2 linked regions of the Lepisosteus oculatus genome follow. The protein of the gene in region 1 binds, or shares a complex with, the protein of each later gene. Links are inferred from orthologs where the notes say so. Each region holds a gene or a part of one and is shown in the gene's direction. Other genes may lie near its edges.

Region 1 (9,325 bases):
ATGTTCAAATGGTAAGTGAGAGTGATTTAAAAATATTGTGTCATTATCAGAACATATTTATAGCCAAACAACAAATAATGTACACAATGTGGTCATATAAATTTTCTTTCTAGCCTACAGTTGATGTCATTTTATTAAATAGAACTTTTTGTAAAATAGGTCATCAGGGGAGAAAGTTGTGCAGCTCATTTATGTAGCAGCACAACTTAACATGTCTCAGCATTACTAAGTAATCACCCTTTGTTGTATAGAACCTAGCCCATTTATCCTTTAGCACTGACAGACTTGGGAACAGTGTATCAAGTCTCTCAGGTCCAGTATCTACCATGCAGAATGGATGGTCTAACTGTTCAAACCCACAAGGGGTAGTGCTGGCCTTGTCAGTTCTGGCCTTTTGAGGTGGAATGTTGTCAAGTAGCAGCAGACACCGGTGGATCAATACTTCAATTTTTTGGGCAGATGACCTTACAGAGTTGGACCATCAGGTTGACCCAATATTGAAAAATTATTCAGTTGGCACTACCACTTTGAATCCCAGACATTATTGGCTGTTATTATAGCAGTTGTGGCTGAGGTGTGAAGCCTCTTTCAAGGATGGATTTTGCTGGGTGCTCACGCTTTGTTCTTGAATTAGTCTTGACCTTGTGTTCCCAGTGGTGAGCCCATGTTAGACAGTCTCTGATGGATCAGTGTTGAAGGGCTCCACCTCTTCTGTGTACTCCACTGGTGTGGGGGCATGCTTCAACTTCAGGATAATTTAGGATTATTCTATTTTAGACACCCAGTACTGTGTAGGGTGTGTTGTTGTTGTTTTATTTTCAGTCCTCTAATTAACACCGCCAGATTTGTATTGTTTGTTGTGTGTTGTAAATTGTTTTAATTTATTTTAATTGAGCAAAGCATACCAATCTGTATTCTGTTTTGTTTTGTTTAGTTACACTGATGATCACCAGTTATTCGATGCTTTGTTGTAGTTGTGCCTTTTCTGATTCATAATGTTTGATCTTGTTATGAAAGTTGTCTTGAATTATAAACAATTCTTGTTTTATTTCAGTTGTGGTTAATGGCATTACTTAGTGTGATCTATTTGGTTCATTTTATTTGTGTTTAATCTAAATGTTACGACTTAAAATACAGAAGAAGCTGTGTTGCTGATTATTTCTTATTGATATTTTCTTTCAGGCTCTTCAGTATTATTATAAAGTCATTTTTAAAGAACCGGAAGGCAACAGTGAGCAGGATGCTTCGGAATTGTACAGGTAGATTAACTGCACAAATTATCTTCTAATTTACCTAATTTAAGAGGCTCCAGATCTAAAATAAAGAAAGCTGATATGGCTTTCTATTTTGATTTTGAATCATATGAATTTGATGCTGTTCACTTGAGTGATTCATAATGCAGAAAACCTAATCTTTCTAAACATTTCTTGCATTGATTGGCAATTTACACTGGCCTTCTTTAACATAACATGTGGGGCTTCTGAGTGGCTTGACTGTTGTAGGTGGTTATAGATATATTATAATTAATTATAGATATAATTAATATTAATGAAGTCCAAGATATCCTAAAATGCTTTGCATGCAGAAGGGGGGCCATTTATCCCTCCTATATTGCAGCACCCATTATGCGCCAGCTGTCCCACTACACAGCAGGTCAAGTGAATTAAAGGAGGAGATGTAGTTAGGCCAGATTGAACAAACTTTAATTGGGATGCAGTCAGAATATTAAGGCTAACACCCCTGCTTGTCATGGGATCCTTAATGGGAACATGTAGCCAAGATTTCTGGCTTGTCTGAAAGACAGCATCTACTCAAGCTGTGTCCCTAGTCGCCATTCTGGTGCATTCGTTTGGACGTTCTCATCCAAGAGTGCCACCTACACCAGTTAGAGCAACAACCTCATTTTCCTTAGAAGTCTCCTGTCCCAGTACCAGGAACATTCTGCTCCTTCCATCCAATTCATAGTTACTCAGCAACCAATCACAGTAATGAACAGTCTCTTATTTTGCTAAAATTGATGAAACACCGGAATTTCCAGTACCAGTATTGCTTTCGTATAAGCTCTTTCCGTGTTTGTACAAGTGTGCTGCTTTTCTTCAGAATCACTCTTGGTACAAAAGCCATCCACTACAGAGATAGTCATTGCTGCCAGGTTATCAAAGTCAGGCCTGAGGGTCATGCTGTCTTATTTCCTGGTTTAATGTTGCTTATGTAGGTCAACTGCACGTATCGTTGACTTAGAAAGCCTTGAACGGAATCAGATATGTCTTTGTGTTGAACATTATCCATCTTCTGCACTCCAGCTTCAATGCATTTGTGTTTGTGCACGTGAGAGGCAGTGGGTATGCCAGGATACTTGGAAATCATGCTGGTTTTGTGAAGCATTTCAATTTTTCATTGAAACAGAAGATCCGGCTGCAGAGTGCCAGAAAGGGTCATAGGGAACATGGTGGAGAAGTTCAAAATGGTCAGATCACAATGGCAAGTGCTGAATTCCGAGGAGCCCTGGAAATGTCAGGATTGAAATCCGATTAAAAACCTTCAGTATAGCAGCAAGGCTTTGCCACGCTGTCCTCTGGCTAATGTGTTAGATGCTGGATGTTTTTAATACATCGGCACAGAAAAGTACAATTTTGAATATTTCTTTCTTCAGATTATGTTAAATATAACAACTTTGAGTATTTGCAGTATTTGCAATGGGTTTTAAGTGTGGAAATGAAAGGGAGTTTTAATTATGCAGGTAAAGTTTTGTTCTTTTACACAAACAAAAAACATAGAAGATAATCTGATTTCTGATGTTCTTGAAATAAGTTTCACTAGAATTCTTAGGCATTACAAATCTGATGCATAGAAAACAGTTTGGTAGATTTTATTTTTTGTAGTAGACTGGAAGGCTAACAGGTGTAAACTAAACTTGAGATACTGTCCTGTTCTGAGTTGTTGCCTGTTTCAATATGTCAGATCTACCATTGGAAATTCTAATTATTTTAAAAAATTATTTTTTTTATTATTTATTACAGCTGTGATATAAAAGAACCTTCTAATGTGGAACCATTTGGTTAATTTCAGTATTATGTGAAAGACTTTTCTCATTCCAATACATTGATTTTTCCTTTTAGGTTATATATTTTTCAACTGTTTTTAGTCTGCAGGAGCTACCAGTATTAACCCATTTATTCATGTTTTATATTGCATTTTTGTACTCTTGGAATATTTTGACCAGTTTGTTACTGTTAAATAAAGTCCTACTAAAAAAAATGATCAATTCTTTTGATAAATTATTTTAAAATACAGTAATTTCAAGAATTCTAAGATTAAATACACCATTAATACTTGGAGTTTTGTTGTTTGTTTTGTGTTTCTGAAATGTTTAAGTAATGTTTATTGCACAGTAACATAATAATAAACATTTTTATGTACTTCCTATAAACGTAGCATGTCAAAGAGCTGTGCACTAGGTGTAAAACAAAAGTTATAAAGACAGCAATTTACAAAGTGAACACATATTAGAAACACAGGAAGTTAGAAGTGCTGAACTAGAAACATGGTCATTAGAAAATGGTGAAGACAGACTCTCAAGTAAGCCTTTCTGAAAACCTGTTTATTGCAGTCAGTGGCATAATAAACCCTAAAAGAAATAAAAAAGATTTTTATTAATGAATGGAAGTACAGTAGCTCACACTGTTTTAAAAGTTTTAAGTATTTAAGTATTTTACCAATTTACATAAATACATCACGTTATTTTAATGTATGATTCTGATTCCAGAGTCATTCTGTTCCTCGGATAAAAACAAATAATTTTGTAACATTTTCACAAGTACATTCTTGCACTGCGTCTTTCGGGCGAGACGTTAAACCGAGGTCCTGATTCTCAGTGGTCATTAAAGATCCCCGAGCATTTCTCGTTAAGAGTAGGGAGTTATCCCGGTGTCGGGGCCAAATTCCCCCCCTCGGCCTTTACCGTGGCCTCCAAATTGTCCCCCTGTATGATTGGCTTGAAGTTGCCCTGCGATGGACTGGTGTCCTGTCCAGGGTGTACCCTGCCTTGCGCTCGTTCCTTGCCGGGTAGGCTCCGGCTTCCCCCGACACCGTATGGTATAAAGCGGCTTTGACAAATGACATGAGACGACATTTTTGAACTTTCTTGAAGGCAAATATTTTATACGTTTTTCTTGTTTTGTCCAGGGATTTATTTTCGAACGTAATAATATTTAAACCGCCGGTCAAAACCGAAGCAAACCTAAATCTATTCAGATGCATCAAAGGCAGTTTACTGCCACATGAATCCAGGAGAAAGTTGGAAAGCAGAGCACAGGAAGTAAAGGCTGCCTGTGTCCTAAAGAAAAGGTTGAAGAGGTTCCTGCAAATTAAGAGCCAATACAAACCAATGTTTTAAAACAGGAGCAATGACATGAAATAGTCCCAGGCTTTCAAAGGTTTGTTAAATCACTTTTTAAAAACGCATTGACATTAAAGTTTATATTTTAAAATGAACACAGCCTTTTCGCTTTTGAGAATCCTAATAGATTTTTTTGCATGCAATATATTACGAATACATTGATGAATATTTTCCGACTTCACAGATCGGACCAATTTGGGACCTCTGCTTTCCTGCTCTGAGCCACGCATTCTTGCTGCCAGTCAAGAATAATTATTGTTTCCATGTCTGTTTTTTTTAATACAAAACACATATAGCTGAATAAAACAATGAATTAAACGCCATTCAAAGGTGAATTTAACAATTTTACAAAAAAATGAATGTATTTTTAACCATTACTATATGGCACTTCTGCTTCTTATTTAGTCATTTAGGCACTTAAGTCAAATCCAGTTAATTAACAAGTACTGGTTGTGAACGAGGGCTAAACCATTTGTAATAAATAACAAGCAAAGAGATAATGGAATGGAGCAAATCGGCCAGAAGGGTATTAATAAAGGTACTGGGATAAATGCACTCTGTTATCAAGTAGTTCAGTATTCTGAATCATCACAGGTCTGAACAACATAGATTTAATGAAAGTATTTTTAAAACAGAATTTCTTAAATACTACGAATGCACTATGTATGGAAAAGAACAACACGTAATGGTTGCATACATTGAAAGACGATTAAAGCAAAACATTTAACCAATGGGATTTTTAGCCTATCGTGATGAACACCTTTCCAAGAAATACCTGTCAGTAAGCCCCCCCAATTTAGACATAAAATGTAAGTATATGATCATTATGTGAAGTGTGACTCTTCATCATAAAATACGTTATACAGAGCTGCAGGTCAAAATGAAACAATTGTGCAAGATTGATTAATGTGACAATACGCAACTACACACGGTGTGAATTTCATTTTGTGTCTGGAAGATGCTGGAGTAGTCACTGTGTAACCCGAGGTGAAAACCTTCACTGAAATTGGAATTAATTTATGTGCAAGGTGTGTGTCAAGTGAGAGGGACGGAATATTTATCTCACTGCAAAAGGAGAGAGTCTTGCAGGCGGCGCTGTGGGTCTGTGAAAGAACTTGGGGCTGCGCTCTGTTGGACATCTTCCCCTAGGTGGCGCTGTGCCTCCGCGACTGTCTGTTCTCGGTGGCTCGATTGGTGCAGCCGGAGACAAATTGGCGCCATTTTGAAGCCAGGAGGAGGATCAGAGCTGCAAGAAGACACGATTGGCTGTTATTCATCAAACTAGGTAGGATTAATTAACACCAAATGCTGCAAATTTCAAATCAAAAGGTGTATAACAACAATGGTCACGCAGGGGTGCTTAGAAGTGCAAAGAATAGTGCGTGAAAGACTGTTAAAAGAAGCGTTTGTTGTCTGGCGGCTGCTGTCCGCTTTTCCTGCCTGTATGGTGCTTGCAGCACCGGGGAAGAGAAAGAGACTCCACGGGTTCACCTCCCCCCCGCCTCTAAATGTGAAATATGTTTATTTCGCAAACATAGTTTTTGCATTTAGGACGGGACTTCATATGTGGGCTCCGTGCATGCTCTTTGACATGTATATTTCTCCCTGAACGTGTGATTGTATTGCGGTTTTGACGGTGCTCGTGTGTATGAGAGCTGGCCTGGTGAGAGGTGTCCGTACCACGACAGTGTGTTTTCCTTAATTAGCGCTTGCCTGCTTCAGTCGCACTGAACACTGGCAATAACAATCTCCTCAAGACCCGGTTTTCACGGTGGCGCGTTTCGCGGTAGTTTGATTTCGACCGGAATCCGGTTGATGATAAGCTGGTGCATGTTTTGTTTTGGGTTTTTTTTTTGTCTTCATTGACCGAGTCCCTGGATTTAGCGGTGTGGCAAAAGAAAAACTCAAATCCCCCCCAGCCCCCCCAAACCAAGAAGCAGCAGCAGCGGCACGGCCGTGTGAAAATATGATCAGTTGTTTGGGTTAATCTTGGCATTGTGACGGTCCGGTAGGTCTCCGGGAAGCCATCGGCTGCCACGGCTGCCTGCTGCTACACACGTTGTTGGTGCCCGTGAAGCTACACGATTGGGCTGGACGGCGATTGCTTTCATCGGGTGGAAATACGCGACGGGTTGTCCCGTCTTTTGGAACGCAGTGCCCCCCCCGCTCCCGGAAAGGTCCACGCGTCTCGCACGCAGGGAGGGAATTTGCGTGGTTTTGGCGGTCCGTGTAGCACAGGCTGGGGGCGGGGTGGTGCGGGAGAGCTCGCCAAAACTTTGTTTTGAAACGCGACCGCCAGCCCCTCTCTCGAAACCAAGCCGGGCTCCGGGGAGATTACGTAACGCGACGGGGTTGCATTTGTGTCACCTCGCTCGCTGCACCGTTCTTTTTTTTGGGGGGGTCGTTTTTCGGCAGATGAAAGGCGCCCACCCCTCCGTATTTCCGCTGGGACGGTGTTTTGCGCCTTTCGAGAGCACGACCCCACAAGTGAAGTCGGTGCGGTGCGGGAGCTCTGCGTGGCGACCCGGTGAAGCGGGAGTGTAGCCTGCCGTTCCTGCGACGCCAGAGCGCGGTGTTCAGGTGTCTTTTCTCACCGCCGTGTACAATCCGCCGACCTTATGCTCGACTCGACAGAGTGACCAACCGTAAAGGTTTTGTTTTTATCCGAACGAAGGCTGTTGCTCTATGTGGTGTTTGGCTTTGCAAGGCGTTGCTCCGTGTATTCTGCTTTGACCTGTCTTCTCCTTTGCCGGTGTCGGAGGGGGGGATTCCGGATTCGCCACTTGAAACGTGGAGGTAACAGTAACGTCTACATTTTCTCGAAGTTAAACCCCTAAGCTCTTGTTGTTTGGCTTTTTAACGTTAGTTTGCACGTTGATATTTTGTTTAAAAGCTTAGGGGGTCCATCAAGGCGCTTCGTCTATGAAAGACAAAGTAATAGCTTTTGTCGGTGTCCACCAGTTTGTCTTGTTTCCTGATCAAAAGTGTGATATAGGTTGTTAACAGGTTTTCAGTCCAGATGGGCTTGTTAGGACTTGAACCAGCTCATCAGTGGCTCATAACTGCACCAGTTTGACAGCTTCTCCCTTCTGTTTAACTGTTTTTTTTTCCCCAAAGACATATACCAGCCCTCTGGGACCAAAACTGAGGATCCCTGTTTTGAACCCGAGAATAGTGTTAAAAATTCCCTCAGAAATATATTTTGTATAAAGTGGTGATCATCATAAATGGTGTGCGAGGATTGTGATTGACCAGCTGTATGGCTTCTGCAGGATAGCAGCCAGGGAAACGACAGTCGTAGTTAGTACCCTGTTCTCACAACTCATAATAGCAAATTGAGTTAAAAGTCCTGGGTTAGCCAGTACTGTTGTATCCTTGGGTAAGATAATTCACTCTGGTTGCTTCTGTTGAATGATCAGCCACTCGAATACAAATCTACCTCTTTGGATGTGTATATCAGCCAATTTAATAATGGTACAAGTGGATAATTTGAGTTGTGATCCCATTTTGTTGAACTGTTCGACGACAAGAGGTTTCCATTGAGAAACTCTTGCTTATGTGGTTGCTTGATATTTGTTAATCCAAAAATCACCTCAGCTTGTTTCTTGAAAACCTGCGTAGCTTCTGGATATTAGCTGCATAGTTTGTTCAAGACCCTTACTACGCTTGGTGTAAAGATGCTCTTCCTGGTTTCCATCCTCAGTGCTCTTCATTTTTAGTTGTCAGGTGTGACCCTATGTCCATGTTTCAGTGTTGACCGGGAAGTAAGTTAACTGTCTCACTACTTCCGTCTATCCTCAAAGGCTGGCGTCCTGCGGGTGTCAAGCAGTGTATTCCGGTCACAGATGGCTTGACCCTTTAGCTGAATCATCAGGTGAATTAAGAAAGTAAGATCAGAAGTGTAGTAAAGACCAGCAGACAAAGGGCTGAAGTTGGCCATCCTTATGATTGTTCTCCTTGCTGTGCTTTGCTGTCTTGAACTGTGAAACAGCTACCTCATCCGGGAAGTAAGAATGCAGCAGATCTTGAACACTAGTAGCTACAGATGTGTAAATACCTTTAGATTGCTTTGTGAACCCAGGCACATGTCTCGTGAGCCCTGGCAACAGAAATAGATTTTGCAGTTGCTCTCTATGTTGAGAAGGAATAGAGCACTTCTGGTTAATACGATGCACTTTTTCACTTCCAGGTTAGTACGGGGAGACTTGTGCAGTGAATAAAAAAAGCAAATTCACTGCCTACATTGCTAATAATTCTGATTGCCAAGAAGAGAAGCATTATGTCTGAGTGTTTCAGGGCTTAAAGTGTTTTAATCAAACAGTGTCATTCCCAGCTTGGACAGATAACTGCAGTATTCTGTTGTTGTTTTGTAGTAAGAAAGAGGTCAGATTTTAAAAGGTACATGATAATATCAAGCTTTCGTTAACAGAACATATTGGAATGCTGCATTTTTGCTCGTTCTGAGTTGAGCGCCAAAGGGAATAGTGTCACTGTGGTTTCAAGTTTTGGAATTTTGGAAACTCATCCACTGCCTATAGCCTTATCGTTACAGGGGGTGTAATAGTTGCAGTGGTAGATAAAATTTAGGATTGCTGCAGTTTGTGCGTAATTTTTGGACAAAGTATTCTTTATCATTTGCTGTTCTAGCATTGCTTTTTTTGTTGCTGCCTTGCCCACATTTGCAGCTGGGGAAAAATGTAGGTGTTCAGATTGAAGAAAAATGTAATGTCGTCCGCTCCTCGTACATATCTCCATAGAGTTCCTGGTCTAAGTCACCTTGATGAGGAGAAACGAAGTCTGGAAGTTCTGATTCAGTGCTGGGTGTCACAGTGATTCATTTCCCAGACAGATTATCTGCTTTTTTTGGAGCTGTGCTTTCATGGCATTTTGCAATGTGTGCTTTTGCTGCAAAATCTTGGGAAACGA
Region 2 (8,792 bases), on another chromosome or scaffold:
GGCATCAAATCTAATCAAAACGATCTGGGGTTTTGATGGCTCTTCAGTTTCTGTGACTGCAGCAGTTAAGGATGGAAAACGTAAAAGCCAAGACTATCTGACCGGAGTCCTCTGTATTTGAGTTTGAGTAGGTCAGGCACGATAAGGCAGGCTTCCCTGGCTGCTGTGCCAGAGAGGGGGAAAGGAGTAAGGGAAGATGGGGGAAAGAAACAGGAGAAAGAGAGAGAGATGAGGGGAAGACAGAGCTTTTGAGAGACAGCGAGAGGGACAGAAATCCAGAAAGGGGCAGGGGAGATTCAGGGGGAGAAAGTCAGAAGAGACAGAGGCAATTGAACAGGAAAGGAAGGGAGAGGCTGACCTGGGCTCGTATTGTGAGCGACTCTGCGGGAGTAAAGGTAGAAGAGGTCTTCAGGGGTGGCTGGCCCAGGTGACCCTGTGAGCCTCACACTGTATATATGTAAATAAAGAGGTAAACCGAAAGAGTTTCACACCATACACACTGGAAAACATGGTAAATTACTGACAATCATGAACGTTTGTTCTTGTGGAAATATCATAAAAAGGCAATATATCACATTTGACAGGGTTAATTATAAGAGAGTCACAGTCAGGCTTTCAGAAATTTTCAGGAATCACCCATGCATCAAGCTCCACTAGCAATCCCTTGGGAAATATTCTCCTAAGGGATTGCTAAACACAGAAATGATTAAACAAATTAAAGCTGTCATCAATCGATTAAACACATTATTGCCGTCATATAAGGCCTTGGCCTTACAAGACCATGAGGAATAAAGGGCTTTTATTTTTTTGCTTCACATCCCAATGGTCACTCTCACCATATTTTCAACACTGATCACAACCTGGACCACTTACTAGCTCTATAATCCAATGGTCTGAGACACCGTTCTGTACAGTATTTTGGGGGGAATTTCAAAAGTGGGAGAAAGTCGAAGTCACAGTTAAGCGTTTTTATTTTTTCTTGTGTTTTTTGGGGGGCACTGTACCAGCATGTCTGGTGTGTGGGTGTCGCGGTGCCACGCGAGAGGACTAGGCGGGGCAGAGTGGGCTCAGGGCCGGTGGGCTCCTCACACTCACAGAACGGAGAGTCAGCTGAAAGACAGACAGGAGGCAGGGCGGGACTTAGTCAGGAAAAGACGAGCCTGTTTCATGCAGTGAGTGTTCCCTTGACACCGAGCTGCATTTCTCCAGAGAAAGATTCAAATGTGGCAGTCTTTTGCTGTTGCCCTCAAAAAGAAAAAACTCCAGCTCATTTACTGTCCTTGAATTAATAACCATTTTCAAATGCATTGCTCGTTCATAGATATAGAATCTACATACTGGAGGAATTTCCCTTAAAATCAATGAGTGCATAACACAAAACCAACAAATTGTTCTTTAGACATATAAAGCAAACGAGTACAGCATATCTTTGCCTTCATCAGTAATAAAACCACAGAAAGGTGAGGTGCATGTGTTCGCGAGTGGAATTCAAATTAACGCCGCTCATGATTCTTGCGCTATTTTTGCCAAGAACGCTAGTTTACATATCCCTCCAGCGACGGTGGACGTTTGCGCGTTCGTGTGGTGCCTGAGTGCGAGAGCCAGCCTCCAGATGGCCCCTGGCAGCAGCCTCCTGTCAGATCTCTACAGGTGCGCGCCAACCCTCCCCTCGTCAGCCCCACACAGGCTGGCGTGCCTGGCACCGGCCCGCGCACTCAGCCCGCCTGACAGGCAGGACTCCTGGCACAGGGACACTGGCTGCAGGGCAGCCGGCACAGTGTGGCACAGGCAGACTTCAAATGGCACAAGTTGTACACACCGGCTCTTTGCTTCGGGGCATTAAAGGTTCTTGGTGTGCGCGCTAGGATGGCTGCCAGGAGACTTTAAAGACTCCCGAGTGGTTTGCTGTTCCCTCTCTTCACGACGACAGCTTCTGCAACGTGCCACCGCAGAAAGATCAATTCAGCAGCTTTTGAAGTACTGACGTCTTCCTCATTTCCCCCTTTTATCTCTTAGGACTTTGAGCACCCACTTGTTTTCTGTTGGCAGGTTTAAGACGGAATCTGTCTGTCTTCTTCTTTCTTGAGAAACAAATGTAAAAAAAAAAAACGTGGAAAAAAACAGCGTCCGAGGTATAGAGAGACGACGGGGAAACGAGGCAGGGGGAAAGCGCTTGGGAACACCCTGCCGGGTGTGTGATCGGACAACCGCCGCGACAGTGAAGAGACCTGCCGCAGGCTGTCAGGGGCGCTGGAGCTCCGTCACACCTTTCCCCTGAATTCAAACTCTCCGCACGACAATATTAAAAAGAAACAAAAACAGTATTTTATTAGTATAAAACAGTATTTCTGCCTCTGTTCTCAGAGAAGGGTTTCACGGCTCCCAAAGCAGAAAAACAACAGAAGCGAAACTCAACCTGAAACTAGGTTCACACCATCGACTCCCTCTGAAGCTCCGCGTTGTGCTCTGGGCTGCCGGTCGGAGCGCAGGGCAGTAAGGAAGATTCCCCTCACCTCTCCCGGTGCTTTGCCCTAACCGTGCTCCTGCATCAGTACCCCCCGCGGAACAAGGGCACCGGGGCAGGGAACACTTCCGGCGGGCTGAGAGATTTCGACCAGGCCTGGTGCGGAGGCCTGCAGGGGGACCTCCCAGCGCGTCTCGGCGCGGTGCCCACCTGTCCTGATGCCGCGCAGAGTGGCGTTGATGGTGGCCCGCACGGCCCGCGCGGCCTGCGCCTGCCCGAGCAGGTCGCTGCCCAGCGGGAAGGGCAGCTGCCAGCGGTTGGTGTTGCCGGCCTGCTTCCTCAGGCGGCCGCGCGGAGAGGAGGGCACCTGGGGGCGAAACACAGTCACTGGGGGGGTTCTGGGTGACAGAACCTGCGGCTGAGCGCTACCACCATCCTCCTCCTCACTCTACATTACCCCCTTGTTCTTCCTTTCAAACACTGTCAAGCGAAACAGAACACAAAAAGGACTGTAAATGTTCGTATGAATATCCAGTCCTTTGTTTCCCCGGCTATCCGTCCCTGCGAGTGTTTTGTGTTTCCACAGAAGACTGCTTTGAGCTGGTGCATCTGGGTCTAAACCTTGGCACAGAGATCTACTCGGGGCTTCTCTGTTTTGTTTTCCGAGAGAAAACACCAAAGAGCTCTTACCCTGACCTCTTCGGAGGGTTTGTCCTCTAGCGCTTTATAAGGAGCTTGCAGCAGAGATCTGGTGGCCGAAACAAGAAGGACAATAACGAGACATTATAGGCTGAACTGCAGTCCCCAAAGAACGGCTTTTTATCGGAGTCATTGAACAGCACCCCACCTGCAAAGCACAGTCCAGGCGTCTCACTTACATGATGCAGGCAGCTGCTGGCGTCATGTGTGTCGGGGGTGGGTTGGGCACGAAGGTGTTCTGCAGCGGATGACCTGGAGCGAGCCGAGGAATAGTGCCGCTGCCGTCCCGTGGCAAAACCTGAGCCATAGTCCAAGATCAGTGGGAAGCTTGAGGCACTATTTTTTACCTGCTTCTTCAGCTTTTGCGGATTGTGATAGTCACGACCCCGCTTCCCGTTTAATCACTACCACTGTGTCGATGGCTGTGTCCTAGGAGGCGGTAGGAAGTTAAGACGCTATACTTTGCGACGTCGCTGCGGTCATTCGGAACAACGTGAGACTGGCAATTGTTTCGCACGTGACACGGGAATTCTTCTGTTCTGGACTGTCATCCCCCCCACGGACTCGCTCCTCTCCGTTCCCACGACAACAGAGACGCGGTGGCTATGGAAACCTGCTTTAGACAGATTGCCGCAGTGATTAAAACCACTTGCTTGTAACATCCGTCCTTCACAGCAGTGGAAAAAGTGTAGTGTTTCAGACTGATATCGGAAGAGAGCAGTGAATGGGAAAATTAACATTGTGTAGACATTCTAAAAAAACTATATCGCATCGTACTATATCGTTTGTCAATATCGCCAATCAACCTCAAAAAGTTAATGCTATTCAATACTCATTTATTTGTTTTTCTATACAACATGGAAAACACAACAAAATACAATAACTAATATAACTGTCGTGGTTGCACGGGTGATGTGCAGTTTGCCTTCAATGTGGTTATAGATTTATTTTTTAAGAAGGCGAGTAAACTACTTCTCGGGTGCCAAGAAAATGTACAGATGGAAACTGTTCAAAAACCTCGCCACAAGAGGGCAGTAAATACCACTGTATCGTGACAGCAGACCTGGGGAATTCAATTTTCCACAGAACGCCTCCCTGTGCCTAGCGCCGGTGCTTCGCAAACTGGTTGGTTTTAAAATATAATTCAATGCAGACATTTAATTCATTCATCGCATATATTCAAGATTTAATAGTGCATTAAAAGGGGTGTCAGAATTTTTAAAATACAGTCTTAATTTCAAACGAAGAGGAACAGTTGCAAATGAAATAACCATTAATGCACTTGGTGGTCTCCAGTGTGAAGTCACTGATAAAACCAAAAACATCGACTGACCTAATTTTTATTTTACTCGGATCTAAATATGAATATAATCCAAAGGACAGTCAAGGCTGATATTTGTACGCGCAGCTATACGTTGAAACGTAAAAAATTGAGGCTGCTAGGAGTTAACAACGTAAACCCAAAGCATTTCTGAGATGTGTAAATAAAGGGGACAAAGCAATATGTATTACATAATCTTTGCTCTCCTAATGTTGCTTTTGATCACTACAGATCCCATCATCCCGTTGAATTTACGTATTAACGTCTCCTTCTAGACGCTTCGCCCTCCCCCTCTCTCCTCTTTGATTTCAATCTTAAACCGTTTCCTTCTGCCGTTGGCCAATCAGATCTTCACTCACTGGGACGCAGAACGGCGGTTTAAGCACCACAGGGCAGCATTGCGCCTTGTGATTGGACAGACGGCAGCTCGCTGCGAGGTGACGGTGGTTTTGGCAGCGAAGGAAAGAGGGAGGGGGGAACCCGAATGGCAGTCAGCGGCGCAGCCGAAAAGAGTCAGGCGAGTTTTGAGATAAATTAAAATAACAACAATAGAACTTTGAAAACAAACTTTGCTCGTCCCTGGTGACCCCGGGCTCGCTATACTACACGAAGGGATAGCCGCTGGTGCCGCTGGAAGTAGTTGCCAGCTTGTTTATATTGTGTGAGGGGGCCGAGAGAGCAGGAGGCCCAGTCGAGTGCGAGCAGAGGGAAGCGGCCGCCTCGGAGTGTGAGTGAGGTGAGTGGCCGGCCCGGAGGTTTCCAAACACGGCCTGGTGATCTCCGAGTAAACGGGGGGGTGGCTGTTGCCTTTTTTTTTGACGCAGGTGCGATCGCAGCGACGCAGCCAGGCAGTACCTTAGCGAGCGGACGCCCCCGGTCGCGGTTAAAGCCAGAATCTGTGGGGGCTGGTGCGCAGGCAGGCAGCTCGGCGAGTTTCAGCCCAGCCGTGCGGGCTGAGGAGGGGTGTAAATAACGGTGTGGAGATAAGCAGCTGTCAGGCCTGCGTGCCTCGCGGAGCGAGCGAGAAGAGCCTAGCCTCAATCTATGTCTCGGGTAGCATTTAAAGATTTCTTTCGAAAGCGGATCATTGCGATTCACGTATCGAATAACTTGAACAATGACCTGCGAGAACTGCAAGTTCAATGAAAACACCGTGACGTTGGTCGTGTTGTCGAAAGTGGGACATTGGGGCGAATTGTCATGGACCCAGGGCAGGATGGGGGAGTACAGCATTAGTCGTGTTTTCTCCCCGTGTTGACACGAAAGCTAAGAAAGCTCAATATATATTTTCACCGATTCTTAAAAATACGGTGTAGAAATAAAACCCCTGTAAGTGACGTTCGTTTTCAACACTTTAGCTAGTCTTTAGTGCTTTTATGGTTTGTAGGCCCGATGGAAAACAACCGCTTCTTTTGTATATTACCGTTATGAAGTTTATAGGATCATGAGTTGAGAGGAGTACGAACTGATCGTGATCAAGTACACATCTGTGAAAAGCACGGTGACGCAGATATCCGGCTTTCAGTCTCCACATTAATAGGATCGATTACCGCAAACTCTCACGCAAATTGATTATTGCCAATCGAAGAGAAAGTTCCGGTGCGTGCTATGTTAAAATTAAACGCTGTTTGCTTGACGGCCAGTTACCACATTGGTTGAATGATTCTTCAGTCACGTCGCAAGACTGTTGTAAGTTAAATTTAAGAACAGTCAGCTTTAGTTTAAGAAAATAAGTTGTAATTTGTACTAGTTTGAAATGCATCGTTTTTACGCTTTGACAGCCCAAAACAATGCGCTCGGGCTCACGCATGCGTACTGAGAAGAAAATCGATCCTGCCTGTTGTATCCAAGTTAGCGGATGGCAAGGTGATTTAATATAACTGTATATGATTTAATTTTACAAGCAAAACATGAGTTGATTCAGTATACAGGACGTTTTGGTTTTGTTTGCTTGGTCTTTGTTTAGAAGTGAACGGATTTTAAATGCTGTTGGTCATAAGATATTTGATGTCATACTTGGTAATGTACAATATTTGAGCAGCAGGGTTACTAATTTTAGTAGTTTTTCAAAAACAATGTTGCGCTTCTTAAGTAGTATTACGTACGGAAAACCATCATCAAGATGCGTTTTATATTGTTTTTCATACAGAGTGTCAAAACGGTATAGTGTTTAAAAGCATGTAAATAAACCTTTTTAAAAAAATTATATAAGAGGTTACAAACAAGAAGGTGCAATTCACCTTGTCTAGCACAAGGCTACTACTTGTAGTAGCTAATGATCTCAGTATCACCTTCAGGTCTTTCTGGAGAGAAGCTATTATATCAGCTTCAGAAACGTTACTGTTATGGGCTAGCATGTTCCAGACGTCACAACTCTTAGTACAAAAAGAACCTTCGGTTTTCAGTTTTAAATGCACTTCCTCTTAGTTTCCATTTTTGTGCTCTTGTTTGTGTTTCATGATTCCAAAGACGTCGATAGGGAAGACTGTCAGCTGCAGCAGTGAGATAGTGAGATAGAAAAAGAGATTTTTCTATTGACAAAGTAGAAAGTACTATTCTGATTGTTATACTTAAAAAAAATACCGTATAAATAGATACCACCCTTAAATGCAAGTTAAAACGTTTTGTGAATGTGAATTGCTACCCAGTTTGACACATTTTCTTAAGTGGATTACTACTTTTTGCTTTTCTGATATGCAACAATCTTTCTAAATTGTAATCTTGCAGGTTTTTGTGATCGACGTTAGTATTGCATATATCGGATAAAACGGCTACAAGAAAAAAATCAAATGTTCCTTTCTTACACCAGACATAACAATGGAAAACTGAAACATTTCTCTTGTACAGTCTTGAACATTACATGTATTCAGTATAACTAACTGTAAAATTCGTACCCAGTATTATAGAACTTTCAGTATTGCGCAACTAACTTCTCTGCTACGTTTGGAAACAAAATGGAGAAGGGTGCTTTGGTACCAAATGCAGTGGAGTATTTTTAAGATAAACAGTGAAATATTTAAACATTTATAGTGTAGCGATTTCTATAATGTCACATTGAATAGGATACCTGAAGAGAATATGTGGGAATTTGGATCAGCATTTCAATATTGGAAGTGCATTTGTCACCAGGTCACCAGCTACGTGATATGCTTTGGCAATTTAGTGTGCTGTTTTTTTCTGGGGAAATTTTCACCTAAGCTGTGACACCTCGTTTCTCACAAATGTTGTAAGAGATGACCTAACATTTATTTGAAGCCATCTACCTGTGAGAGATTCTCTCTGCATTTGTAAGTTTTTGCCCTTCCATGGCAAAACTGAATATTATGGAATTTGGATCGCAACTGCAGGATGTTCCAATGCAAATGTGCTTTGAAATACAGGCTTGCCACTTCAGATTGATACTTTACTGATGAATGATTGGGCAAACAGCATTTTCTTTTAAAAATTCAATACCTACTACAACAAGAAAACTACAGAAAAGGTTATTCTCTTATTGTGGTAGTGAAGAAACTGTAACTAACATAGTAAGCATTAAATTACATGTCAAATTGTATTTATTTATTCCTCAATATATCCCTGTGGTATTTTTAGAAATAATTTCAAATATGAAAATCAAGAGATTTTATTCTCTTTATATGCTACTAAAACTGACATTTTAAAGGACTCTAGCATGATAAGATGCATTAATTGAGGAGCCTAAAATACTTTGAGTTGCTGACTTTTACTTTTTTTTCCACAGAGAATATGAAACAGAAGTCACAATGACATCAAGATTTGGTAAAACCTACAGTCGGAAGGGAGGGAATGGGAACTCAAAGTTTGATGAAGTCCTGTCCAACAAGCGGGCCACGCTCAGCACCAAATGGGGAGAAACCACCTTCAAGGCACAGCTGGGCTCCAAGAGGCCCAACTACAAGCCTGAGGTAACAGAGGCACCAAAAAAAGCCAGGCATACTGAGGATGATACCTCTGAAGACCCCTTTGGTTTTGACAGTGATGAGGACTCTAAGCCTGTCACCTCCCGCAGCATTCCCCAGACCAAGGCTGCTCCAGTCAAGCAGCCAGTGCCAGCTGTCACCACAGAGCCCCCAAGGATGGAAAAGCTGGGGTCAGTGCTGGAGGCCAATAGCAGGGTGAGCCAGCCTATCACTGTGGAGGCAGTGGCTCCCAGTTGCACACCTTCAGTTTTTGACCGTGATCTCCAGGGGCTGAAGGACAGGAGCACACACAAGGTCCCGGATGATGGCAACAGCAGAGTTTTGGGCATTAGCACCTCTGCAGGTAAGAATAAGGAAACACACATGGCAT

The links.
Region 2: the proteins of pds5b (region 1) and waplb are in contact, whole or in part, in a crystal structure (PDB 5HDT), measured with the Homo sapiens proteins. The link is inferred for Lepisosteus oculatus from reciprocal best matches to the Homo sapiens genes PDS5B and WAPL. Residues at the interface, in NP_055847.1 of Homo sapiens: Gln47, Phe88, Ala92, Pro93, Ala95, Trp137, Val138, Lys139, Ser140, Asn142, Ile143, Phe145, Glu146, Glu187, Gly188, Asp189; in NP_055860.1 of Homo sapiens: Lys7, Thr8, Tyr9, Ser10, Arg11.

Annotation. Positions count from the first base shown.
Region 1 is NC_090700.1:14,801,996-14,811,320, forward strand, and holds the start of pds5b (sister chromatid cohesion protein PDS5 homolog B), read left to right. Parts: upstream 1-5,602; 5' UTR 5,603-5,684; intron 5,685-6,112; exon of another isoform or gene 6,113-6,979; intron 6,980-6,996; exon of another isoform or gene 6,997-7,195; intron 7,196-9,325. Other genes in the region: uncharacterized protein, read left to right, coding at 1-11, 1,183-1,259, 2,407-2,524. UniProt on the Homo sapiens protein: Regulator of sister chromatid cohesion in mitosis which may stabilize cohesin complex association with chromatin. May couple sister chromatid cohesion during mitosis to DNA replication.
Region 2 is NC_090699.1:27,848,945-27,857,736, forward strand, and holds the start of waplb (wings apart-like protein homolog), read left to right. Parts: upstream 1-4,862; 5' UTR 4,863-5,001; exon of another isoform or gene 5,002-5,220; intron 5,221-8,223; 5' UTR 8,224-8,245; coding exon 8,246-8,765; intron 8,766-8,792. Other genes in the region: btbd16 (BTB/POZ domain-containing protein 16), read right to left, coding at 359-447, 1,005-1,110, 2,675-2,831, 3,155-3,212, 3,343-3,470. UniProt on the Homo sapiens protein: Regulator of sister chromatid cohesion in mitosis which negatively regulates cohesin association with chromatin. Involved in both sister chromatid cohesion during interphase and sister-chromatid resolution during early stages of mitosis.